Schizosaccharomyces pombe: one gene and its partner. The protein of the gene in region 1 interacts with the protein of each later gene in a biochemical or structural test. Each region holds a gene or a part of one and is shown in the gene's direction. Other genes may lie near its edges. The genes, in order: mex67 and mlo3.

Region 1 (12,377 bases):
GTGCCGTATACCTCCTTTTATAAGATAAGATCCTCGGATATTGCAGAGAAACACCAACGACTCCTACGATTATAGGATCCTTCCGCACCATTTTAGTGCCCCAGTGTGGGAACTTAATAGATACAACAGAGATAACGATAAGGTGAACAAATATGAAATGCATCTAAACGTTAAACGACATACAGCATGTGCATTGTTAATACCCGTGGAGAAGACAGAGCAAAGAACACTAGGATTTTTTCTTTTATCCACGGCACAATCAACTATGATATTTCACATTACAGCCATAATAGTGACAAAATAGAAATGAACGTAGCTTGTTAAACCCATTGAGTATCCTGTCCGACAAACAAGCTGTCCCTATAACACTAAAAAATGGAAGAAATTTCGATAATTCAAAATTAAGTAAACAGCAGGTTTTTAAAACCCACGAATACAACCAAAATTTACACAAGACAGACAAATACAACCAACACATAACATGAATAATATTAAAATGAATTAAAAAACATTAATGAGTCATACAAAAAATTTAAAACTTATACTACAAAGCAAAAAGCTATCTGAACTACCGACCCACAGAAAAAGTATCAATATGACTATTCCTGTAAGGGCACTAAGATGTCCAATATGGCTCTGGCCCACGTATGACGCTCAAACCATTCCATGGAAAAAGAAAAAGAAAAGTGAGCAACACGAATTGTGGGCGTCGGTATATAACCGCACGATAGGGAAACTTCAACTTAACAAACTCACGTTTATAGACCTTTGTGACTGTTTTTTAAACCCTACCCTTTTAAGTAATTTGTTTGCTGCATTTTCAGGTTATTATCCTATTGAGGTTACGATAATGTCAAGGAAAGTATAAAACAAGTGCTGTTCAAAATAAATAAATGAAAATAAAATAACACTTTTTTAATCGATTTCTGTAGAAATTTAGTCCTTTCATTTTTTAAGTTGACCCTTCATTGTTATACAACAATTAATTATTCTATACGTATATATTATATATATTGTCTACATCAATAACTGAGCAGAATTGAGCATTATACTGGATAGAAAATAAAAAAAATAAGCAGGCATTTTTTCACAAGTAAGTACATATTTTTATGATATGAATTGATAAAGGTGCAGGCGATCATATTGTTAGTTAATAATAAAAAATTGTAAATAGTAATTTTGCTTCTCCATTAAAATGAATACATAAATTTAGTAGATAATCGATTTAAACAAAAAATAGATATCCAAGCCAAAAAAAAAATAAAAAAAACCAAAAAATGTTTATTTTTTTTGGCTCATGAAACCCAGATTTATCAAAAACTTACGTTGCTTAGTGCTCAATCTCTTTAAACATGCAATAAAACAAGAATTAGCGGGACACATATATTGATATATTGCTTAAGGAATTAGTGTTCGGAAGTCTTACTGACTAAACTGTTCTTTACTTCAAAATTTACTCCTGAATTTTCATGTTAATGGAGGTCGAATTTTAGGTGGTCGATTGAGTTATATCAATAGTGATTTTACAAAAAAACAGTAAACGATTTTATATTAGCCTCATATAAATTTTTTTGAATTTCAATAAAATAAACTAAAACAAAAAATGTATTTCCACAAATTCCATCGATACAAGCATAGCAAAAGACGAATAACGCATTTAACAGTTTCTCGTTATATCACAAATAGTCTAACTGTTTAACGCAGTTTTGCGCGTACACATCTCTACTCCTTATACTTGTCCTATTACTATTGAAGTTAAAAATGTTGAATTAAATTCCACTTACTCTCTTTCTCTTCACACTTACTACTCAACATAATTGCAAAATGTTGCGTAGAAAGCGGGAGCGTCGTAATGCTGTTAAAGAGAATGAAATGGTAATTGATACACCATTGGAGAAACGCCGTACACCAGGCAAACCTCGTGCCACGCGTGAACCCCCGATATCCGTAGTTATTACTGGTCATTCCAAGGGTTCTGAGGACGACTTAATAAGCTTTGTTTGGAGAAAAGTCAAGGTTCGTCTAATGAACATTTCATATTCTCCGGCTTCGGTCACTGCCGTAGTTAAAAGCCAAGACTTTAGTCGTTTGAACGGGTTAAATGGTGCGGCTTTTGCTGGTGATCATTTGGCTATACGAAGGGTCGATGGAGCTTCTAACGTTACTCAAGATTATAGAAAAGCAAAGACAAAACGATCATTTCGTTCTGTTTCAGCTCCTTCATTATCTGCATTAGCAACACAAGCCCAGAGAAATGTTTCAAAAACGTTACCACAATCCACAAATGAGACCATTGAAAAGTTACGCCAGTTTTTGCAAACCCGTTATCAACCTGCTACTAAATTCTTGGACCTCGGAAATTTGCAACAAGATCCTCTTTTAAAGCAAATGGGGATTTTAGCAGAGGCTTCTACTAAGAGTAAGATGTTTCCAGCGTTAATGAAGGTTGCTTCTTTAAACTTTCCAGACGTTATATCAGTTAGTTTGTCGGATAACAACTTACAATCGGTGACTGCCGTAACCACTTTAGCACAAACATGGCCTAAACTTTTAAACCTTAGTCTTGCTAATAACCGGATTACTTCTTTATCTGACTTGGATCCATGGTCCCCCAAAACAAAGCTTCCCGAACTCCAAGAGCTTGTTCTTGTCGGAAACCCGATTGTCACAACCTTTGCTAATCGTGCTATGGATTATCAACGGGAAATGGTTTCGCGTTTTCCGAAGCTTCGTCTTTTAGATGGTAACAGCATAAATTCAGAGATTATCGCCTCTCAATCTACCGTCCCTTTTCCGGTTTATCAATCTTTCTTTGATAAGGTTGAAACCGAACAAATAGTCAATTCTTTTTTGGCTGCGTTCTTTAAAGGTTGGGATGAGAATAGAAGTGCACTTGTCAATCAATTATACAGTCCAAATGCTACCTTCTCAATCTCTCTGAACGCTTCAAACGTTAGAACGAACTTTTCTCAGAAAACAGACACTAAAAAATGGGGAGCTTACAAAATGAAAAGCAGAAATCTACTTTACTCACAATCACAGAAGGAGTCGAAATCTCGTTTATTTAACGGGCACGAAGAAATAAGCAACGCTGTAAAATCCTTACCTGCTACGGCTCACGATTTATCAGACCGTTCGCAATGGGTTTTTGATGGTTGGAACCTGGTTCTGCCTTCGGTTGGTGCAGCCATCAAAATTGTTGTCCATGGGCAATTTGAGGAACCACAAAACAAACGACTTCTACGAAGTTTTGATCGAACTTTGCTGATTTTGCCGGGAGGTTCCACAGGCATATTGATTATAAATGATTTATTAGTCATTCGTTCATTTGCTGGATCGCTCGGGTGGCTACCTGGTCAAAGCAGTGTACGAACAAGCAATAATGCCATGTCTGCGTCTGCTTCAAAGCCTAGTGATATTGTACAGCCAAGACCGGAACAAGCAATGTTAGACACTAGACAACAAATTGTATTAAAAATTAAGGCGGAGACAGGTTTAAATGATTACTATGCTCACATGTGTTGTGAGCAAAATAATTGGGATTACAACAGCGCTCTAGCATCTTTTTTGGAATTAAAGTCGCGAAATGTTATACCAGCCGAAGCATTTTCATGAACTTCTAGTGACGTGTATAGATAGATATGGTTAAAAAATTACAAACTGGGGAAATGGAAACTTTTATTTAATAATGGTACATATTGATGAAATGAATAAGTTAGATTTATACATAGTCGTTCGTGATCATTCTATAAAAGTATTATGGCGGTAATTAAATATAAGAAAGAACAATGGTAAAAGTAAGAGCCAAATATCCTTTTAATCCAAAACAACACTAACTTGATCTTCATCTTCAAGTTCCGTGCTTTGCACTTGATCGTTGGGATCTAACCATTCACCTTCAAATTCTAATCTAATGCGTTCATGAAAACTAATCTTTACTTCAGTACAATATCTCTTAATCAAATCTTTAACAGTGAAATCGACGGGTATTGAGAGACGAAGATCCTCACTCTTACTCGAACGCAAAAGCAACGTTATAAGTTTACACGTTTGAGCAGTTGAATCTTCAGTTACCGAGGATAACTTTTCCACTTCCAATTCTTTTATTCTTTTGAGTGATATAAAATCCGAGTGACAGTAGGCATGCACAACCAAACGGGTATCGACTTTAAGCATACCAGCGCCCTTTGGGGTTCCATAATCCCATAATCTTTGATTTTGAAATACAAGAACAACGTTATCTACTTTTTTTCTTTCAGAGTACGCTATTCTGACACGACGAAACTGTTGGTTCGACTTAACTTTGAAAAATAACGGTGCCTCCCAGTCCCGGGGAAGAGAGATATTGCTGTTTGGAATTCTCTGTCCAATTACGGCTAACTGGAGAACGACGGAAATAACTGGTTCATTTGTTGAGAATTCCGATTTGGAGTGATACAGCGTTGAGTGGTCACTTTTTGAATGCTTTAAAAGGGGCACATCAGCCGAAGTATTGTCATCGTCTTCTTCAATTTCTCTCTTATGCGTGTGAATTTGTACATCCATATCACTTGATGATTTTTCAAACTCCTGAACTTGCCGATCAATTTCCTCTAACCTACGAGCAAAGTCATCGTCCAGCAGTGATGAAGTCGTAGAAAGCGCAGCCTCACTATTAATGCTGTTGTTTCGCAAGTTAGCGGCCGCCCTAGTATTATAAACTGGTGAAACCGGTTGTGTTACACAGGAGATAGCACTTTTGGGTGAGTGCCTACCTTCATTCAAACACGCATTAGGAGTAGTGTCTGAAACGTCTTGGTTGCCTTCATCAGCATCTAAAATAGTGGATTGACGAGATAAAGGTTCGGCACTTTTGTTTTCATTATGAGTTATATTTTTCTGTGCATTTATGTGTTCTAATGCTTGTTTATTGGTATCAAGTTCACTTTCCTCTTCTAGAATGTTGTAAGCAAGCTGACACTTTGCAATCGGAATTAAAACTTACCAGAATCTGAGGAAGAGGCTATTAATTGCTTGGCATAGTTTAATGGAGGCTTTTTAATAGGCTTTGAGAAGAATGCTAAGTCATCTTCATCTAGGTTGTCCATTTGGCGAGTTTTAGCAATTACGGTGGTTCCACAAAGCTTCTTATGGATTTAACGAGAATTTGTAGCGACACACCTTAAACTAGGTAATTTTTAGCTTAGTTTTGTTTTCACTCAAGTTTATTACAAATCGATTTTGAAAGTTATATAATAATTTTATAATTCAATTGAAAAAGTTCAATGAACATTCCTCCAACTCATCTTCGAAATGAAGTTTGTTTACTTACGCAAAACCCGATCTTGTCCACTTAGCAAACAGATTTAAGTCTATAGAATTTCATTTTTTAGGTTAAGTAATTTGAAAACTCTTTGCTTCTTGTACTGAGACATTAGGTTTGATGAATTTCAATGACATTGGCTCACCTTACGACGGCTACATTGCGTCCGTCCATTACTGCCATTCATAATTTGTTCTTCATTCGCTAAATAAATTTTATTTAGTTCAGATAAAACCAAATTGTTGTACTATTAGAGATACAATGAATAGGTTTAATCAGCCGATATTCCTATATTCAGTAGTAGACTATTCAGGTACAAGATATAATACTAAACAATAATATGTAAACAAAATCGAATATTATCAAGTTAGTCCCCGTTACTTTATATTGATCATTAGAAAAACTTTACACTATACTGTATTGGTAAGTGAGAGATAATTTTAAAAAATTGAAGAGTATCTTTTTAAGATTATATAATGAATTAAGCTATATGATCGCAATCAATAAGATTATGAAGTACGTTACACTATGCTAGATTTATGAAAGTGTTTACTACCAACACAAGCTTAGGTTTTGCAAGCACAAGAAGGGCAGTCACAGCTTAAGCAAACGGTAAGGATCACCACACTAAGAGTTCCGCCTTTACCAAGTCAAAATGCCTGCTCAGGGACACAGATTGTACGTTAAAGCTAAACATCTCTCTTTTCAAAGAAGCAAACATGTTATCCACCCAGGAACTTCTTTGGTAAAGATTGAGGGATGTGATTCTAAGGAAGAAGCCCAATTTTACCTAGGCAAGCGTATTTGCTTCGTCTACAAAAGCAACAAGCCCGTTCGTGGATCCAAGATTCGTGTCATTTGGGGGTAAGTTTATTTTTGTAATTAAATTCTTGCGTTTCTTTGGAGAATATGAAGAAACGTTAATGCTATATTTTCACGGTCGTTTTTTGTTGGCTAAACGAATACATTCAAAACCTTTACTAATTACGTTTTAGAACTGTTAGTCGTCCTCATGGAAATTCTGGTGTTGTTCGTGCTCGTTTCACCCATAATCTTCCTCCCAAGACCTTTGGTGCCTCTCTCCGTGTCATGCTTTATCCCTCCAATGTTTAAATAAAATATTTTTATGTTCACAACAATTCTTCTGCTTCTTAGATTTATTTTATTTAGGGAATCCCATTTTATCGAAAGCCTCGTTTGTTATACAAAGTAATCAATGCTTTTGGTATTATTTACTCACTAGGAATTTGTAATTGGTACATTAAAACACAATTATTAATTTAAGTTTAATCAATATTGATGTTAAATAACAAAAGCTGTAAATTTGTATAGGTAACTTTTGAGAATCGTTTCACGAAGTATCATTTCAGTCGTCTGTTCTTAGGGTGTTGATGGGCAACACTGCATCAATTACTTAGGTATTGTAAATTCACTAGTTTGGCGTCTAACCTTTAGTACTGAATACTACCTTGTTTATGCAGGTAGTTCGATCGAATACTGTCGAGCATGTTTATAATCGGCTGTCGATCATACAAATCAAAAGCAAATCAATTATTAACCCCAACTATAATTATTTAAAAATAGTATAAAATAATAGCAAAATTATTATCAACGAAACAAAATCATCAAGCATTCTTTGTGAGAAAAAAAGGAGCGCAAGAAATAGTCCTAAATTGTAAAGATAAAACACATAGACGCTATTCAATTTAAACTCTTCCAACCTTGAGCCAAAAACGACTGTTTATAAGGTCTAAAAGCTTTTGAATTGTCAAGATCATCACTTAATACATAGCCCATACTTCGGGCTTGGATACTTCGACTATGTTCGTCTGCCTTTTTCAACATTTGGATCCATCTATTTTTCCGATCGACAAACGAAGAGGGTGAGGCTTCAAAGGAGGATTCTGAGCTAAGACTTGACGAAGGAGAATGATTTGTGAATATAGGAGAAGAATCAATATTTAATGGTAAACTTCCTGAGTGAATTTCCATAGCATCCACTTTGCTAGTAAAATCTTCATTTTCCTCGTCGCTCGGAATCGTGGTTGACATTTCAAGTGAATCGCCCGATTTGTTATTATTTATGTTGTTTGTGTCAAAATCGAATTCAAGTTCTTCATCAGATCTGAAAGTTAAAGTAGATAGATTTTCTATATCGTTTAACGAATCCGAAGACGCTTCATAGTCTGGGTTGTCAAGTTTGAACTGTTTGGAATACTGCATTGGCTGGTTAAAATACTTGCCGGGCTTGTCCGAAAAGGCAACTTGATATTCATCAGTAAAAGCAACATGCTTTTTTGGCTTCGATTTTCGACGTTGAGTAGACCGACTTTCGTCGATCATGGCATGGTCAGCATCAATGGCATCACTCGACTCCTTTGGTGATGCGATATTGCTATCATATATGGTTTTCACTTCCTTCTCTAGTGATTTCTCAATTGTCGAAGCATCTTCTAACAATTTAGTTTCGTAGGCTTCATAGTTGAGTTGCTGATTACGCATAAACGCAAGTAGTGATAAACGATTTGTTGATCTCTTTGACAACAAAAGTTCTTCGACTGTACGCTTAATTTCCTTGTTTACTAGTGAAGAAAATGAAGCCCGTATTTCATCTTCCCGAGGTTCAGCTCGCGCTTTAATTATGTCCATTCGAATGCCCAATTCTGAAATAGGAAAAGATGCTCTTACAGAAGAAAGAGAAATAGCTGAATCGTATATGTAAACTTTCACGTTTTCTTCTTGAAATAATTTCTGCGGTTCCTCGGATATTTCAATATTTCCCTGCACAGCAAGAATACATAAGTTGCAGCCTCGACAAGCAACAGCTGAACAATTTTCAGCTTTGCATATTTGCAATAAACTATAAATTTTCTATTGAATTAGTTATATTTGATTTCATTAAGGTTAGCGTACAATTTTTATGAGATCACGAGGAACAAATATCCATTGATGTTTGGTTTCATTAGGAATTCCTAAAACACGTATATTGAGACATTCACAACTTATTCCATCGCCAAATGGCGATTGCAATTGCATTAAATCTACTATGAAGATTTCGTCAACGCTCGAATCGCGTTGCTCAGTGAGATCGGCGTTGGCAAGAATTAGGTACGCCGTTGTCGATGTAATATAATTGATACAGTATTGTGCTATACTACATGCTTAATAACGCCGAAAAATCTAATTCTTGATAATTTATTTATAAATTTTATTAAATTCATATTATAATTTTTTCTTCATGAGAGAAGTCAAAGCCTTCACATACATAGGAACCTTTTCTAACTGACAGGTATTCATAGGCTTTGTGTGCTGTTTAATAAGTTCAATTTCAGTAGAAAATTTTCTCTTTAATTTTTCATTCTGTGTCATTACAACTAAGGTGGATTCAAGGTCCAACTGTTGAGACCTACTCGTATAATTGGAAGACCCAATCGTCGTTAAAAAAGGATGCTTGTGATGTTGTGTACTCAACCAAAATCCTAAAATAGTGTTAGTGAATTTTTCAAAGATATATGACTTAAGTGCCGTGCTCCAAAAAATATTTATAATGGAAAACGACAGACTGTAGTGTTTACCTTTAGCATGATATGTATTCCCCTTATTTTGCCATTGTAAGACATCAATATTTCTTTTCTTCTTTCTTGAATCTTTAAGAAATTGTTCAGCAATATACTGATACGCTGGTGGAATTAATTTCGATGGTCCAGGAGATCGATAAAATCCATTAGCCTGTTGAGAAGCCACGATTACTTCCCCTATACCTTCAGATTTCAACAACTGTTTTCTAAGTGCTGGATAAACATTAAAATAGCCAGCCGTTAAGGTCCAATTAACCTCCTTGCGCGATAGCAAGGTCCCGATTATAGACAAGACCTTTTCTTCAGTAGAATGTACGTCAGAAGTAAGGATAGGTACACATTGAAAAAGTGGGTATACGATAGCAGATTCTTCATATTTATGAAATGGCTTATTGTTGTCATCACCTGCTTGATTAATTAATTCAGAGCCATATACTGATGATAACGGTTTAGAAGGGTTGCGAGACAAGAATTTCTCTCGATTCCCCTGAAGAAGTTGTTGAATTTTAGCAGAAGCTGCTACCCGAAACTCTTGAGGATTTGTTAAAGGATTTGGACATGAATTGTTCCATTTCAAAGTAAAAGGAATAACCGGGGACGTAGAAGATAGTTGAATTGAGGAATCGGATAAATGAGGGATACACTCAAAAGAAAGCTGTGAAAACAAAAAATGCGTTTTAAAGAAAAAGTCCGCTAAACCCTTATCACTAAACAAATAATACCGGTCTTTTCGATTTGTAAAGTAATCTCTCGAAAGATTGGCTCTATTCGTTAGTATAGTAAATAATCATTTGCCTTTACCCGCTGATAATGAGGTTATCATCTGCACCATATATTTTCATATGCTGCAATCCCCATCCCTCATTAAATCTGTGTGGAACCAATTGCTTTCTTAGTCCACGCAAATTCGGTGTATGGTAAAGCTTGATTTCGCATCTATCAGGAAACTTCTTTTTCAATTGCATTAATAGAGATGCAGAGCAACAACCAGGGCTTTCCCTAGTACACCGCAATTGATCTGCCAGAATGTGAACATGCAAAGAGGGATTGTTGCTTAGCGCATTTGATAGACAATTGATCAATTCTCGCTCTTCTTTTCCAATGTATAGCGTTGATAGAAATATTCTTTTTTGAGCTTTTTTGATTAATTTTTTCAAGCGTTGATAAAACTCAGGAGGTTCATGAATGATATCAATATCATCAACGTTAACATAGAATTTGGGACACACACCGTCAATCTGAGATTCCAAGTTGACAAATATGTTTTTCTCTATTCCTTCATCCATTAGGCTGTTTAAATTGGTGTGCTAGGTTAGTGTGAGATACATTGAGCTTGCAAACCCGTTCATGCAGTAGAAAGGTCAATATCCAACGGTAATTTGAACGTGAAATATAGAGAAAAATGGTATAAAAGCAGAACTTCCATGTTATATTAAAAATAAAAAGTATCAAATTGACTCTAACTTACTTAACAAAAAATAATATACCGATCACGAAATATACACATTTAAAGTAATTTATAGCAAAATTTTTTCTATTTAATTAAAAGAGTAATGAAAATTAAATGATTAATTAGTTCAAAATTTATTTAAGTCCATAAAGATAAATTTCGTTTGTCCTGAATGAGCATATCCAAACCCGCTTCTTATCTTGTTCTGCAAGGGTGACAAGTTTCTTTTGCAGTCTCTGCATATATTCCCTTTGAGAAGCTGGGCAACTTTCTATTAAACGTTTCCAAGACTCCTCATCAAGCGTAGTGGTACTACGAAGTTTTTCCATAGCTTCTGAGTCGCAATCCACTGCTAAAGCAATAGCATCTTCTGAGCTTTCACGAATGGCTGACTGCACTAGATCATAAACTTTATTCATAGCATTTTGTTTGTGTTTCCATTTATACTTTCTATCATTAACGTCTTTAAGCGAGATCAACTGTACGTCGAGGTTGGATTGAGAGGTGTCAACGAACTTTGCAACATCTTGTTGAGCTGAGTCTAATATACGTTTCGACTGTAACATGCTTTCGTTTCTTTTTCTTTCATTAATTTCTCCCAGCAACCACATCCCAACTTCATCAAAGCGTATTTCGTCATCTTCATTTTTTAAAATATTTCGAGCCTTGACTGAATGTTCCATCTGGGTATTTTTCTGACGCACGACGAGAACCCAATTAATGCCTTCACTTCGATAGTGTGTTACAATCTCTTCTAAACTGCTAGCACCCCTTAAAACTATATCCGCTTGGATATTTAAAGCCCAAAGCTCTTGCAAAAGTGAGCATTTTTCTAGGATTGAATCCTTGCCAATACTAGTAACTAAGACATCAACTCTCCTTGGTGCCCAAGGGCCTACAGACTTTAAAGTTGGTGAAGGAGAATGCTTGCTTGACTGCTTACTATTGTGAAATCGAATATATCGCAGCATTGAAAATACTAGTTTTTCAAGGGCAAAACATATTCCAACAACATGCTTTTTTCTGGCAGTTCTCATTAGAGGAGGATCGAAAAAGCGTACAAGCTTGTCATAACGACCACCAGCACAAATGAGTTCAGATTTTTCCGCCAAGTTAATTGCTTGAAACATCAAACCTCCATCGTAAAACTCAAAGTTATAAACACATAAAGGCATGAAGTATAACTGATGAGAAATTTTTAGTGCTCGAAGTAATTTAACCACTCGCTCCATATAATTTAAAGCAGTTCTCATTTTCTGTGGCATTTCCTTCCCAAAAATTTTTCTAAGTTTGCTAGCACCTTCTTCATAATTTTCCCGAAAATCAAACAAACTCAGATCGTCTAAGGTGGTAGAGGGAACTAATGACTCAATACGAAGCTGGTTCCGTACCTGTGATAATGTTAAGCGTTGGTTGATTTGTCCAAGTATATGAGTAGCCATGCGTCTTTTATCCTTTGATACTTGTAAATAATCAAGAATGGAGGAAAGAATGTCAGCGTGATTAATTAAGATACAACTTTCTGTCAAGGATGGTATCTCTGTTAATACTTCGTCTAATGCTTTGATTGTTTCTGCATCATACCAATCCAAATTATCAGAATTCGTGGTAATGTCAAATGAAATTTCCTTTATAGCCTTTGGTCTCCCTCCACCTTTGGCTTCCCGAAAAACGTCAGAAATTAAGTACGTCTTTTCTTCTTCCACAGCGTTTCTAGCAACATTTCTCGCGTAAGGAAGAACCGTATCATATGGAAGCTGTAAAAGGGTACCATTTTTATCTAGTAGGGAAACAGAAGCTTGGTCTTTATCGTATTGAGAAGACTTTGGGAATAGAATATGTGACTCACGTTCCTTGGCTCCATGGCGACGAAATACTTTAACTACATGATCACGTACTAAACAAGCTAACAAACTATCCCATCCTCTATCCGACACTTTCGACAACACTCCACTTTCTTCACTAAGGTTGAAGTCGTAAGTAAAGTCTTTATGACGATCGGGCACTTGGCCGAATAAAACTTTCAGAAGCTTTAAATAATAAGGAG
Region 2 (16,339 bases), 660 kb from region 1:
CCAAGTCAAATGGAAGAAAGCAAGCAAACAAGTCTTGAAGCCTTGAAATTAAAAAATTTTCACTTTGTCACACACTGGTAGTATGGGGATACTACCGGTGGAGCTTGATTTACTTTGAGTATGGTGGTGTGGTGTGCGGTTAAAAATGAAAAACGCGGGGTGTGGGTTAGCTAAATACTCGAGGAGGGGAGTGATCTCCGGGCGGTACGTTTCGTATATATATATGCTGTTACGTATTCGAGTGCAGTTGCGATATGGTAAAATTGGAGAAAAGGGAGGGGTAAAAGGAGCACGAGGAAGGGATCCACTTTGTAATTCAGAATAACGCAGTCGATAGAGAAATATGGTGGCGCTTGCTGGTAGGAGGGGAAGGAGATGGGCGAGGTGGAAAGGCGGAGCGCTCGAAAGGATGAAGGTTAACGAGAGAAGTCTAAAAAGTAACTTAACGAGGGCAATGGTGATGGGGGGTTAAAGGAAGGATAGAGAGGGTGGGGAGGTGTGGGGTAAGGAGAAGATAGCGAAGGAGAGGGAGGAGGAAGGAGGAAGGGGAGAGGTAAGAAAACAAGGTGAAGCAAAGTTAGACGAGAGAAGAGGAGAAGAGGAGAAGAGAAGAAGAGGAGAAGAGAAGAAGAGAAGAGGTATAGACAAGAGGAATACCAGAGGTGAACAGCATATGAAATATAAGTGTTGGTGTTGGTATTTGTTTGTTTGTTTGTTTTTTAAATATGTATAGGTGGTAGAATTTAGTGAATTTTTCTTGTTGGTGTGTATTGTTTTGATGGTTAAAGTTGTGGTTATGATTATAGTGATAATGTAAAGATGAATTGAATATTCTTGTAAAGATGAATTGGGTAATTATTTTGATGATTGTGCATATTTTACAATCTTGAATCCATTTTCGAAGTCTTTTTATTTGAATTTTATATTGTCGCTTTATCTCGTCTCTCTATTTCCTCCTACTGCATTTTTTCTCTCTCTCTCTCTCGACCGTGCTTGTACTGCGACTCGTAATTCTCATTTATCGCATCGCAACGCATCCCCATTCGAGACTTTTGGCGATTTGGCTTTTTTAGCCCTAATGTGTCCGCTTTTTCTTGTCAACGTCATCTTCTGATTCCTCCGGGAGTCAAATTTATTAAGCTGCGGAGAGTCCCTAAACTGGACAAACTCGTCCAAGCCAGAACTTGTTGAAAAGGGTCGATATGAGCGGCGATGACGAGCGTAGCATCCTTGTTTATTTATCTAGAAAACTCAACCTCGACACCAAAGGTGGAGGTCACCGAATGGCGGCATTTACTAAGGAAACCATAAAACAAGAAATTCCTTAATCAAGCAATAACATAACCGTCTTTTCCTCTTCCCTATGCAAACCCCCTCCTTCTCTCCCCCCCAGTGTTTAGCCCAAGGCGTCAAGTGGGGGAACCCCAAGTGCTGTGAAACACAGTCTCTTGGTCAAATGTTAAACATTCATAAGGCATTGTAGCGTATACAGAGAAATGGACTGTTAAATGATTTTGCTTGTGTAATACATTGCAGTGCAGTGCAGTGAAGCGTAGAGTAGAATAGACTATGCTACAGTAGGAAGAAAATACCCCTTATTTGGTAGTAGTAATCAATACTGTAGTAGTAAAAACTACAGTAGTGAGAGTATAAGAGTGAAGTGAGAATTTAAGAGAAGTGAACATTTAAGAGAAGTGAGAATTTAAGAGTGAAGCAAAAAGTATAAGTGTATATCTAGCACACTCAGTATTGATTCAAATCATATAGGATCATTGTGTTATTACTAGCTACAATGGACGAGATATGATGATGGTATGGGATAAAATACGATGGAATACTACTATCGTTGCTGTTGCTGTGACAGATTCCTCCGTCGCTACATCGGCAGCAAAAAAAAAATTGTTTTTTTCTTTCATCCCTCAAACCTTTACCACCCCAATTGGAGCATCATTAGTGGGAAAGAAATTTTTTTAATTTCTTCATTCGACTGCAAAGAAGGCAGCAGCAATATTCATGATGTGACAGGTTGAAGAAATTAAAAAAGGAGACAGAAAATGAGAAAAATAAAAAAAAAGAGAAAAAGAAAAAAAAAAAGAAAAAATTTAATTTATCATTTATTATGATTATTCTTTTTTTTTTTTGATTTTATTATTTTATTATTTTTTCATTTCATAATTTAGTTTTTATTTCACAGTTCAGTATTTATTTTTTATTTCGTAGTCTAGTTTTTATTTTATCATTTGTTCTTCATGTGTATTGCCTACTCTTTTTGTCTTTTTGTCTTTTTTCTTTTTCTTTTTCTTGTTTGTTTATTTTTTTGCTTCTTCGGCCATTGCCATCCCTAACACTCCTTTTTCTTCCTATTACAACAGTGTCGCTTTCTCGACCTCTCTACCTCACCGCACTGCTCCTTCCGCACCTCCTTTGCCACAACTCTGCATCCGTCTATTGCCTTGCACTCTCTCTTGCCTGCTCCTTTCAACTTGTTAGCGCTTGGGGTGATTTTCTTTTTCCAATAGATTCATTAACAATTTCTAACATAGTACCGTAAACGACCTTTTCAAGAATCGCTCTGCACCTCCTTCTTTCAATAGATCAATGTAAAATAAAACAAACATAACCTATGATAATTTCCTCTCCCTTTTCTTATTAGCGATCTTCCTTTCTCCACCGTATTCTCCAATAAATGAAATGATTTTCAAACAGCAGGAACCAATCTTTTGCTACAGATGTTTACCTAGAACTAGTAAGACAAGACAATCCACGTAGTCTCATATCGACTCCTTCTATTTCACTATCGTATTCACCGTTTCATTCAACCACTCTCTTCCAAATCTTTAACGATCACTCCCTGCATTCCCTTCCTTCTTCCTTCCTCCTCCTTTCACCCCACTATTCCCCTCAACCACTCCACTCTTCCTCGCTCTTTTTTCTTATTCTCTCTCTCTCTCTTTCATTATCCCATTTAACGATTTCCTCCATTTCCCTCCTTCCACTCTCCACTCAACAAGGTTTGTCTCCCTCTCATGTGCTCCGTTAATGCTCATTCTGGCTCCGACGGCTTTTTGCCTATATACATCAACAAACTTTGCTTGCGTTTTCTCCTTCCTTCCTCCCCATTTCCTCTCTTCCTTTTATTTTTTAATTTCACGCGTTTTCTTCTCTACACTCTTAATTGTTCTTTTGCGCGCCCTTGATTTCGCGCCTTCTTCTTTTCTAGCATCGTTTGTTTTTGTTTTGGCTTTGCTTTGTTATTTTGTTTCCCTTTCCTTTTACTGTGCCTTCACTCTCCTCTTTTAATTTCGTTTTCTCTCTCTCATTTTCCTGAGTATTCATGCTGTCATTGGTTTCCTAATTTTTCATTGGTTTGTTTGTTTACGTTTTCTTCTTTCGCTGCTACAATTGTATTTATGCGCGCATCTTTTTATTTATTTACTCAAGTACATATAGTTATATATATATATATATATATAAAGCATCTGCCTTGCTTTCTTTCTACGGCTTCCCCCCCAACTGCCAATACACTCTTCACTCAGTGCTTTGGTTAGCCCTTATTCAAAAAAGTTTGCGTACTGTATACTGTCTTGAGACTTGAACAACTTTTTTTTTTTTTTTTTTTTTTTTTTCAGCTTACATTTTGTAGTCTGTTTTTCTTTTTCTTTTACTTTTTAATCCTTTTTTTTTTCTTTTTCTCTCTCTCTCTCTCTCTCTGTTTTTTCATTCATCTAATCGCTCATCCCTACTTATCCTTTTATAATTACAAACCCGATTTCTTTACTCGCTCTTCATCTCCCCTTTTTTTTCAGTTTTTGTTGTTTACTGTTATTTTTTACTTTTTTTTTCGTTTCACTCCAAATTGTCTCGAAAAGCTAATTGTTGAATTTTTTTTTCTCAACTTGCTGAAGTAAACATTACCTCCCTTTTTAATCTTTGATTTCTATTTATACATCTTTTCTTATACGACAAAGACATCCACCAGTTGATTTTCTCTTGTCTCTTTAATTTCTTTTTTCCGTCTACTTTTCGTCTATCATACTCAGTTCTTGTTTATTCTCTCCTCTTTAATTGCTCCTTCCATTTCATTTCACTTTCTACTCGATTTTTACTTCTCAAGTTGTTTCTTTATTTAGATAACTTTCAAATTCTCCTCTTTACATACTTATTGTTTGTCTTGCTACGTTTAACTTATTTTTCTTTGATTTTTTTCCTGCTTGTCCCATTGTTTGTTTACCTCGCTCCCAATTTTCCTCACCGGCAATTGCTAATTAAAATCCATAAAGTTATCTAACCGATCTATTACGTTAGATATCTTAATTTGGGTTTAACTTTCTTGCTGAATAATCTTCAACGCTACGCTATTTTTCAGTGCTTAACAAAGTGAAATTTTTTATTCCTAAAAAATTCTCTTTCCTAAGTTGCAAGCATTTTCAACTGCGTTACCAGCTTTTCAGAACCTGCGCACAACCAACCACCGTAAAATTTAGTTTGGAGGGTTCAATCCTATTTTTTTCCTTCTATATTAGCAGTTTTTTTGCAGAAGTCGAGCTTTTTACTAAGCCTCGTCTATTTGCCAGCGAAACAAGCATTCCTTGGTCGGGTTTTGCTAGAAGTGAGTGTTAATAAGTCTTTTTCCTGTCTCTTGGGTAAATTTCTTATTGTTGAGCATTCTTTATCTCTTTTTCATTTTTTTTTATCGTTCTTCCTTTGTATTCTTCTTTCCTTGAAAGGAGTACTCAAGAAATCGATTACAAAACTCGAAAAAGACTTGATTAGGTAGAATAGCAAAGGAGTTAAAAATTTTTTTTTTAATTCTTCAATTTGCTTTCCTTTTCGAAATTCTTCAGCAATGTCGTTTCCTTATCAGCACACTTCACGTTCTCAAGTTCAGCCTCCTTTGGCTGCCCCCGGCTTGAGTATGTTTGCTCCTGTTTCGTCCAGCAATAGTGCAAACTCTGCTTCTTCGGTTGCTGCTTTGTTGAGTCATGCTCCTATGTATGGTCTTGGCCAGCGTCGTCCGTCCTTCTTACCTGGCGTTTCTGTGCCCGATACGCTTTCGGTAAGGTCGGGCTTCTCCATCCCTTCCTCCTCTCATCATCCTTCCGCTGTTCCTTCCCTTCTGTCGCAGCACCGTTTACAGCAACCTCAACCACGTCTCTACCCTTCTGCGCCTCTAAACTATTACTGGCCATCTTATCAGTCGGTTCCATCTGCCGCACCTCCACCACCCTCCCAGCAACGCTATATGCCTGACTCTGCCGTTGCCTATAATCCTAACCAAGATCAATTTGGCAATTCGGTGAATGTATCAGCTGCATGTAACAACGTTTCCGCCCCTTTGATTGCTAACAATTGTGCTCCTTCCTTTTATCAGTCTCGACATCCCGTAGCAGATGTGCCTGTAACCAACAATACCGCCACTACTACCTCCGAGACTGATAATACAATCCCAGGTAATCTTAACATGCCTTCGGTTGCTAACGTTCAACAACGTATTTCTCCTGTCTGCAAAACTAACATGGAGGATCAGGAAGAAACCGTTTATACCGGAGGTGTTGCTGCTAAACTGGATTACAAGATGGATCAAATGGTGGAATACTTGTCTATCATGACTTGTAAGTTGTATGCTCGTTTCCTGAATAATGCTCAAATGCATTCTCTTGCTAACTCTTTACCTGGTCTTGTGTTTTCTTTCCGTAAGGTCGTTACACAAATTTTGACGTCTACGCGTTTACCTCGTGCCTCTTGCTTGCTTGCCTTGTCATACCTTTCCGATCGTCTTGACGCCGCATCTCAAACGACTGATTTTGTAAACCAGTGGACTAAGGAGTCGTTATTCTTCCAAATATGTGCTCTTTTAACGACCGCCTTGATTTTGGCTAATAAGTTTTTGGATGACAATACGTTTACCAATCAATCCTGGTCGCAAGTTACTGGTTTCCGTACTGCCTTGTTGAACAGCTTTGAACAAGACTGGCTAGCTAGCATGTCCTGGAATCTTAGTCCCGGTCCTCGTGGTCAAAAGGCATGGGAGTGGTGGAGTGCTTCTTATTCTTTGTTTACTTCCTCAAACGCTACATACTCTGGTGAACAAAAAACTTATAGCCCTACTACGTTGAGCACCAACGCACCACCATCGCCCTCTTCTGGACGTTCTTGCTCTAATTGCAACTACTATTATCCCTATACACCCGTGGGATATTATCCAGTGTACAATCGCTATGCAATGACTTAGTGATCGTGCTTACTTTCTGCGGGTGTTGTTGCTTGACGGGGTTTGTTTTTCGTTTCCTTGCGCTTATAAACACTTTACGTGTTTTTGTTATTCTTGTAACTTTTTTCTCTTTTCATATTGTATGACGGGAACTTTTGTTTAACCCGTCATATTGTATTCTCTAATCATCTCCGTGATGAATTCGGCTCTCTTGAAATTAATTTGCCGTTTGATCTTGCTTTTCTACTTTCTTATTTTTTCAAATTTTAACAGAGAAAAAAAAAATTTCCCAAAAAAAATTGAAAAGTAGTATACCGAAAAAAAGGAACCAACTTCTTATCAGTATCTGTTTTATTTTTGTCGTTGGACTTTTATTTTGCTTTCTCGTGTGGCTTTGTTATCTATTGGAATATCTTTTGATGCAATTCTGATTTGTTAATACTGCTTGATGTATATACATCCGCTACTACTATAGGGATCGCGGATTTCCTTTTTAAAGTTCGCCTTCAAAAATTAGTAGTCTACTTATACAACTAGCTTCATCAAGAAATACATTGTGAATAGATGAAAAGGCCCATGGATGCTTTGAGTTTATTTTTCTGTTTCATTAGCAAAGATTTTACTTCGGGCATCGTTTTTGTCCTTATTTTGTTTATTTTTTCTCCTTTTGATACTTAAATGAGAAACCTTTGCTTGCTGTTTTCTAAGGATTAAGCATAAAATTTTTTATTGCGATTTTCCAACTCCCAAACTGTTTGTTATGATTACCTAGTTTTATTGCGCATTCGTCGTATGTCTACTAGTGAGATAACGGATTTATATAATCTCTTATACTTGATTCTGTTGCACTGAATCGTGCTTTTTAATTCTGAATTATGTTGTCTTTGAATGTTTTCCGTGTTTCTAAAAATTGCATAATCGTTATTCTTCTGTCTAGATTCTGCATTGTTAAGCTACCAAGAAGCGGCGAAGCGTTTGCATCTATCTAATCGTGTAGGCATCATATCAAACGTTTGGTATTATGGTTACAAAAATTGCTTTCCAAAAAAACAATAAATTCTGTTTTATCAATAATCTCTCAACTTTTATAAGTGAACGCGTCCATCCTAGTTCTGATGCCAATAAAGTGTAAAGTAAGTTTAATTTGTAATATTATTTTTTTGTCAAATTTCTGAAGACTTTAAAGTAAGCGTTCAACATCGCTAAATATATTTAGGAATCTACAAAATAATAATTTTAAATATCGACACCTTGTGTACTACCCTTACCTAGATCCTGATCAGTTGTAAACCCCACCCGCCACTTTACCACCTAACAACAACTAACTACCCAACAGTAACTCGATAAAAATGTCTATGGAATTAGATCAGTCCTTGGACGCCATAATTGCTTCAAAGCCTAAAGGAGGTATTAGAAAGCGTCGTGCGCGCTCTAACAAGCCAAAGCCAACAAAGAACGCGAAACCCGCAGTGAACACTGCCTCTGCCCTTAAATCCGTCATTTCTGAGGAATCTAAAATTATTGTTTCTAACTTACCTACTGACGTTACCGAGGCTCAAGTTAAGGAGCTTTTTGTGAAATCCATAGGACCTTGCAAACGCGTTTCCTTGGCTTACGGTCCCAACGGTCGTTCGAAAGGTATTGCAACTATCATTTTTTCTCGTCCTGGTGATGCCACTCGAGCTTATGAACAGTATGAGGGTCGTTTGGTTGATGGCACTAGAAAAATGAAGGTTGAGATAATCCTTGATCCTAGTCGTCAATTGAATTCTTTGGCTGCACGTGTAAGTCCTGCCAGCAACGCTAGCGCCACTGCTAGCAAGAATGGCGCCAAATCTTCCAAGCGGAAGACTACACGCCGCCGTAGAACTCCTAATCGTCCTAAAAAATCCGCCGAAGAGCTCGACAAGGAGATGGATGATTATTTTGGATCAAATGAGAAGGAGTAACTTTAATAATTTGAAGATTCTACTATATATACATATATTTTGAAGATGTCAAATGCTTCTTGGTATTAATAACGACCTATACAACATACTCCCTCAGTTAAATAATATTGGCAATATAATGCTGTTTCGAATGGCAGTTCTTGAAGTTGTTTTTGTGTTTTGGGTCTTTCGTAATGGATTTGGAGAAGTGAGCTGAACCAGTTCTTGTTAGTATATATGGTGTGTATTGGGTCATATTGCCATTATGCCATTATTTCAAAGAATTTCATTAAATTTTTTATTTATATCTCTTTTTTGATAGACATATATGTTTCATTGACATCGAACGAATTTGGTTACTTATTTCTTTTTCGGTGGTTAACGTTGGGTTGGAGGTTTTGACTTTTGCTAACTTTTGACATATCTGTTGATTTGTAGTATGCAAGCTTAAACGCTACCAAGAAGCTAAGCTTTGAGTCGAGTTCATTATTAGCATATCTGTTCACCTGTTATGTTTGCAACTTTATCAGCTCTTGTGCAGAAATCCTTTATGGTTGATAAGCGCTCCCTTCTTGTTTAATACAAAAGCAAAACCTATGTAGACAGTGGTTAAAAGAGGTGGATAATGGTAGCTTCGGCTACTGTTACTTTATTTAATCTAAGTTACTGTACAAGGCAGCTGTTTTGATCATCATGTTGCTAAACTATACTGGGTTGAGCTTACCGACAGGGTTTATTATTGCATGTTTGCTGAAAGTCAAAGCTTCCATACCCCAACTTGACTGTGTTTATTATGTTCATGATGGTTTTTGGTTCACGTCACACTTATTCCAAGTCTTGTTTTACTATATGTGGCACGGCTTGTTTGGATGAGGAATTTCTATTCGTAAAATCATCGCGTTCGATGGCTCTATTTCATCTTTGTCAAATTGTACATGACAGAACTGGCTTCATTCCTTCCTTTGTATGTAAACCACATTTATAGAACTTTTCCACGATTGCATTTTAAACTCGCTGATTGATGAATTACGCGCAATGCATTCTTTTGAAACTTTTAAACCCTAGTCACTTCCATTCCCGTTTTTTTTGCTTCCGACGTTTATTATTATTTGTAAATTATTGTTATGGTTGAATTGCCGACCGTATCTCGAAATTTGTTTTGGTAAACATTGCTTGGTTTTATGTTCGAACCATTGTCACATCAAACAATTTAAATTGAAGTCCCACACATATATTTTTGGCACTTATAATTTTGATTTTTTTGAAAGATCTGTACGATCCGTCGTGATTGTGTTACAAACCAAAAATCGCTTTCAGAATGCGCATTTGCGGGTTGCTAATTTTAGTGCGCGATTCTTGCCGTCCTCTGAAACCGATTGAAACATTGAAATTGTTAAAACAGTACTTTACGTTCGTACCTTAAACCAGTAGTATCTGAACGGTGGTTAACGACATTTGTATTGCAGATAAAGAGAAAGATTATTATTCACTTGCTACACATGGTTTATACGAAAGTTTTAGATTTTAATATCTGATTACAATTTCTCGTCGATATTTAGACTCCTTGTGGAACTCGTATATGTACGTAAGTGTTATTTAATAGATATCTGAATCTGTGCCGGGTGAGAATTGCAATACCTATATAAACAAGCAGCCTTTACGAATTTTTTGGCAGCTTCATTTTGGTAATGAGATTTAGTGAAACTAATATCGGTTATAAAGTGTATAGTTATATTGTTACGTCAAAGAGCACGAGACTAAGGGAGGCAGGTTAAACGTAAATGCTACCAACTTTGAACTTAGAAGTTATACGTTGTACAACCACTTTCCTGCATTTATGGAATATTATACCTCGAAGGAGGTAGCAGAATGGTTGAAAAGTATCGGATTGGAGAAGTATATCGAACAATTTTCACAAAATAACATTGAAGGACGACACCTAAATCATTTAACCTTGCCTTTACTGAAAGACCTAGGCATTGAAAACACCGCCAAAGGCAAACAATTTTTAAAACAAAGAGACTATTTACGAGAGTTTCCACGTCCATGTATACTGAGGTTTATTGCCTGTAACGGGCAAACTCGAGCAGTTCAATCACGAGGAGATTACCAGAAAACACTCGCTATTGCTTTGAAAAAGTTTAGCCTTGAAGATGCTTCAAAATTCATTGTATGCGTTTCACAGAGTAGTCGAATTAAGCTGATTACTGAAGAAGAATTTAAACAAATTTGTTTTAATTCATCTTCACCGGAACGCGACAGGTTAATTATTGTGCCAAAAGAAAAGCCTTGTCCATCGTTTGAAGACCTCCGCCGTTCTTGGGAGATTGAATTGGCTCAACCGGCAGCATTATCATCACAGTCCTCCCTTTCTCCTAAACTTTCCTCTGTTCTTCCCACGAGCACTCAGAAACGAAGTGTCCGCTCAAATAATGCGAAACCATTTGAATCCTACCAGCGACCTCCTAGCGAGCTTATTAATTCTAGAATTTCCGATTTTTTCCCCGATCATCAACCAAAGCTACTGGAAAAAACAATATCAAACTCTCTTCGTAGAAACCTTAGCATACGTACGTCTCAAGGGCACAATCTTGGTAATTTTGGTCAAGAAATTTTGCCAAGAAGCTCTCGGCGGGCTCGCCCTTCCGAATTGGTTTGTCCTCTTTCCTCTCTGAGGATTTCTGTTGCTGAAGATGTTAACCGACTTCCTAGGATTGATAGGGGATTTGATCCTCCACTTACTGTATCTTCTACTCAGCGTATTTCTAGACCACCATCGCTTCAAAAATCCATAACCATGGTTGGTGTGGAACCTTTATACCAGTCCAACGGAAATGAAAAATCGTCGAAGTATAATGTTTTTTCAGAAAGCGCGCATGGCAACCATCAAGTACTTTCCTTTTCACCTGGTTCATCCCCATCATTTATTGAGCAACCATCCCCAATTTCTCCAACTTCCACTACAAGTGAGGACACAAATACACTTGAAGAGGACACTGATGATCAGTCTATCAAATGGATACGTGGTGCGTTAATAGGTTCAGGATCGTTTGGACAAGTTTATCTCGGTATGAATGCATCTAGTGGTGAGTTGATGGCTGTTAAGCAAGTGATCTTAGATTCTGTTTCTGAATCAAAAGACCGCCATGCCAAACTTTTAGATGCATTAGCGGGTGAAATTGCTCTTCTACAGGAGTTGTCTCATGAGCATATTGTCCAATATCTCGGTTCTAACTTAAATTCGGACCACTTGAACATTTTTTTGGAATATGTTCCTGGGGGGTCGGTTGCCGGATTGCTTACAATGTATGGAAGCTTTGAGGAAACGCTAGTCAAGAACTTTATTAAGCAAACCCTTAAAGGCTTAGAATACCTTCATTCACGCGGCATTGTACACCGTGATATAAAAGGTGCGAACATCTTGGTTGATAATAAAGGGAAGATTAAAATTTCGGACTTTGGGATATCGAAGAAACTTGAACTAAATAGTACCTCTACGAAGACGGGTGGTGCTCGCCCTTCTTTTCAAGGCTCTTCTTTTTGGATGGCTCCCGAAGTGGTGAAGCAAACTATGCATACGGAGAAAACAGATATTTGGTCTTTGGGATGTTTGGTAATCGAGATGCTCACTAGTAAGCACCCTTATCCGAATTGTGATCAAATGCAGGCCATTTTCAGAATTGGGGAGAACATTCTGCCGGAATTCCCTTCTAACATTTCTTCATCGGCCATAGATTTCCTTGAGAAAACGTTTGCCATAGATTGTAATCTTAGACCTACAGCATCAGAGTTGTTGAGCCACCCGTTCGTTTCATAAGCCGGCTAAGTTATGATGAAAACAGAAACATTATTTTACGATCTATCTTTTTTATGTTTTTTTGCATCATTATCATTGCATTTATGCCATTTAGAACTAATGAATTTATTTAACCTATAAACCGTATGATTTAAGTTGCTATATTTTTCTACAATATTCATGTTTTTAATGATTTTGTGAATGTCCTTGATAAATACCATTATGAGTTTAGTTACTAAAAAAATACTATTTTACATGTTCAGTTTGTTTAAAAAATATCCATTGATTATTCCTTTTCAAGAAAAAACTTTTTATTTTTATTTACTTTGTGAAAACGATAACATAAATATATAATAACACATATCTACGGGAATTCTATCACTTAAACAAGTAAAACTCAAAAACGTATGTATGCATTAGTCGTAGAGAAGGGGATTTTTTGTTCACTCCTTGAGGAGAAAAGATTAGGTATAGTAGATATAAAATAAATTGTCTACTATCCAACATAGCCTTCCTTATTTCCATCTGTAAATGGAATAAGACTGCTGACGAAAAAACGAGCCAAACGGGTATCTTTGGAATTGGTTGTTATATTTACGTTAAATCCAGGTAAAGAGTGCGGATACATCTCATAAACAGCTTCAATTTGGGGAAATAAAGGCATGACTTCACTTGGTAAACCAAAAGATATGTTTCCTGTTTGATCTCCGCTTGTAGGACTCAGGCCCTTGAAATCATGAAGCTGAGGAAGAACCAACTCAGATAAGATTGAAAGAAATGTATACATAGATTCTCCAGTTAGAGTAACCTTTACACCTACTGGCACACCTGAACGAAGTTTCCAGGGAGAAACGTCCTTACGTGCATAGACTATTTCGGGCTGCAAACCCGTTATAGAACGAAATGCCATCATTGTACTCAAGAGCTGCGTTTTGTCAACGAGTGCTTCTTTATGCATAGTGCTGACGACAACTTTGCTAATAGAAGGAAGGTTTTTAGGATTAACGGACTCCTTTACTGGTAACAGAGGCTTATTACCACGCATTTTCTGAGGAGGCCGGTTTTTATAATAAGGGTTATCACCAATCCACCTTGGAAGTCTGTCTTTCTGTGTATGTTCATCTGTGCTTAACGCTGTATCTATGTCATGTCGATATGAAGCAGCTAATACATCCGGTAAAATGGTATCATGCAAGTGTTCTTGTAAGCGATTTAACATGGTGGGTCCTGGACGAAAATACTCAGAATTTGGATCCCATCCTGGTAGGGGCCTATTCTTGCCCAGTTTTTGCTTTACAGTGATGGTTCTTCGCTGCAGAAAGTTAACTGATATTCTGATATTTTTTCTTATCCCAAGCATTGTTAAAAATTAAAAAATGAATTAAAACAAGTATAATGACAAAGAGAAACCAAAAGCGACAAAAATACAACAGGTTACTTTCTAGGGAATTTTCGTGAAAATCCTTTTGCTTTATAAGCAGATGAGCACTTGTGTTATAATTTACCAATAAATTATAGTAAATAACACAAATCCGGGAAAAAATATTTATAATCACGAAACAAGGAAATTGTAAAGACCAATGTCCACAAATGATACCTGTTTCTCAAATCTTCAAAGGAAGGTTTTAACAAATGGTTATGGATAAAACAGGTAAGTCTCGCAACCAAAACAATTTTGCAATGGATCTTAGGTACTAGGGCTGGAAGATTGCTCGCGTTTGTCTAGTGTATTGTCATGGTTAGTGTACCGTATTACCTAGTGCCAAGTAAGGAAATCCGAGGCATCGTTATAATCATATGCCACACGATTTTGAGTGCCAAGTGTAATAGAAAGTATTGTACTTGTAACTTACAAACTTATTTAAACAAGTTAGCTTTAAAGCTTTAAGCTGATGTCTTTCTGTTTTTTTTTATACGTCGAAAAACAAATGTTTTTCCTTCAGCTGGTACATAAAAAAGCAGCTAATTGCTCTTCTTTTACAAGATGATTTTATTTTTGTATTTCTCAAAATCGTGCCAAATGGCATGCCACACATATTCAAATTATTGGAAAGTATTATTACTAACTGGCTCTACAAACTATTTGGATAGGATAGTGATGCATGTCATAAGATCACTTTCATGCAATAACAATACTAATCCAATTCGTTCTTTTGTATTCACTTTGTTCTTGTTCGTTTTTTACCTTCTTTCCTTTCAATATAGATGTGTGATGATGAATGAGAGATGCAAGAAGCTTAGCTCAAACACAATCCTGAAAGAGTAAAGTACTCAACATAAAATAATGCATTTATACATTTCGTACCTTTATCAATCTATTATGCAACAATAAAAGCATTTTATCCAAAAGAAAACAAGTTGTCTTAATACTTGAAAAGATCAATAGATTTACTTTTAGTTTGGTTTTCTAAAAAGAGAATCACACTTGATAAGAAATTGATTGCCTCGAATAACTCAAAACTAAATTATCTTAAACAACAGATACCGCCAGTGTATACTCAAAAATCATAGATATATGTTTCGAATTCGTAACACTTTAATGAAAAACCAAGCATTTCATAGGAAAGACAAATTTACACTTTAGTTTTGTGTCCAGGCATTACGATAACGTCTGGTAAAGACATAAAAAGAGGTATAAGATCTGGCACTTGAGAATCGCCAGTCATTACAATTTGGATACAGAACAAGCTCTAGAAACTCAAGATAGTGCAGTAAATGTTTATAAAGAGCATTTCTGCTTAGAATCACAAAACAAATTGCACTGAGTAACCAAATATTGAATATTCACTGTCCAAGCTCATATGCTTATTATCAATCAATTGGCAAGCTGAGGATATCCAACAAGTCAGATAACTTCATAATTCGAGGCTAAAGATTCTATTTAAAGAATTCAACGCAGTCCTATGTAAACAATTAACCCATTCTATGATATATATTGTAACATTGGGAAGCGCCTTAATTGCTTGTGTTTAGGTCAAACCAGAACAGCGCTATGATAACTAAACAACGTTTTATTTTCCCATCGACCATATTTTAATTTAAGTGTCGTGAATACCCGTACACTTTAGGCCATTTGATGACTATTCATACTTATATAAAAGTCAAAGCCTTTCTTTAGGCAAGTGAAGAACCATTTCTAATTCGTAAGCACAGTGTATAAACAAAGAAATCCGTGATACATTATTTTGGGTTATTTCACTTCGTGAGAAATAAAGCAAGAAATTTGTTCGTTGTTGGCAGCAAAGTTAATTGACTGCTTCTAACAAACTTCAGAATTTTTAATGAAACATTACAATCAACAATACAGTTTAATTATTGCTGATGTTAACCATTTTCTTTAATAGCTCAGACAAAACCAAATGTTCCGGAGGTTCCGTAGCAGGCGTAGAAAATGTGTTTAAAGCAGGGCTTCTCAATGGGCGGAATAAAACACGTTCACCTTGTAAATGTCCGTTTTGCGGAGATCCGTTCAAGTGTGTCTCACAAGAACTGAGATTCCCAGACACTAAAGGATAAGAACTAGTACTTTCACTAAATGGTGTGCTAGTCCTACTAAAACCAGAATCGACAGCTCTAGGACTCTCATTTGAAAACGTGCGTTGTTGTAATGAATGAACAGAGCACCCGGTAGTTTGAGCAGGTATAGGTTGAACAGGTCCAACGAGGCTATCCACCATCCTCCCAAATTGCAGACTTGCAATACTAGATGACTGATTAGCTATGGATGGTGTTCCAGATAAAAAAGGAGATGTAGGAGAAGATTGAGCAGATGGAAAAGAAGATGAGGACATTAGTGAATAATTCGATAATCCCATTCCAGTAAAAGCCTGTCCGCTAAATGGAGATCTGTGGGGTGTTGGAGGCGAAGAAAAAGATGTGCTATTTGGTGTACTTTTCGCTCGCATATTCAGTAACACATACAAAGAATCTAACGCAATTGTTATCAGTGCGTCAGAATCATCAACTTGGGGACCTTTACCTTCCTCATTAAAAGGATAATGATTTGAAAAGTAAAGCCACTGTAAAGTATCACGAGGAACTCCACAAACCTTAACAAGAGGGAAAAAGAATAGCAGGCCGATACTTTTAGAAGAACAGCGTACAAGAACAGAGTCGTCGGGAGCTGTTTGATTTGTGTTCTCCAAAAAGAAGCTTAAACGATTGAATATCTGTGAAAGTCCAGTTCGAATATCTTTAGTAAGCCAGACGTCCCCATTTTGCAAACACGAAGAAGTCAAAACACACAAAGGTAGAAGCATTGGCATAAGTACAGCATTTGAAGACAGAGATCCATATTGACGACGTTCGACTAGATCATCAAAATTACCGTCCTTCTTACTCGACACACCAGAGGTAAGAGCTTGTAAAGGAAGCTGGCTATTCACTGAATCAGAAAGGACTTCA

Evidence for each region.
Region 2: the proteins of mex67 (region 1) and mlo3 form a complex in vitro, tested with the Schizosaccharomyces pombe proteins (one study listed by BioGRID).

What each region holds. Positions count from the first base shown.
Region 1 is NC_003423.3:2,399,542-2,411,918, reverse strand, and holds mex67 (nucleoporin Mex67), read left to right. Parts: upstream 1-1,797; 5' UTR 1,798-1,824; coding exon 1,825-3,615; 3' UTR 3,616-3,767; downstream 3,768-12,377. Other genes in the region: SPOM_SPBC1921.04C (uncharacterized protein), read left to right, coding at 515-868; DNA repair protein, SUMO-related Rad60, read right to left, coding at 3,817-4,934, 4,985-5,087; rpl35A02 (60S ribosomal protein eL33), read left to right, coding at 5,958-6,166, 6,298-6,415; toc1 (Tor complex Tor2-interacting protein 1), read right to left, coding at 7,004-8,173, 8,216-8,338; pgs1 (CDP-diacylglycerol--glycerol-3-phosphate 3-phosphatidyltransferase), read right to left, coding at 8,525-8,781, 8,878-9,644, 9,682-10,166; eIF2 alpha kinase Gcn2, read right to left, coding at 10,465-12,377. UniProt on the Schizosaccharomyces pombe protein: Involved in the export of mRNA from the nucleus to the cytoplasm.
Region 2 is NC_003423.3:1,735,934-1,752,272, reverse strand, and holds mlo3 (RNA-binding protein Mlo3), read left to right. Parts: upstream 1-7,524; 5' UTR 7,525-7,560; coding exon 7,561-8,160; 3' UTR 8,161-8,305; downstream 8,306-16,339. Other genes in the region: cyclin Clg1, read left to right, coding at 4,847-6,232; MAP kinase kinase kinase Byr2, read left to right, coding at 9,977-11,956; mrpl7 (mitochondrial 54S ribosomal protein uL5m), read right to left, coding at 12,432-13,295; ebs1 (EST1 family protein), read right to left, coding at 15,244-16,339. UniProt on the Schizosaccharomyces pombe protein: Has a role in the mRNA export process. Interferes with mitotic chromosome segregation when overexpressed.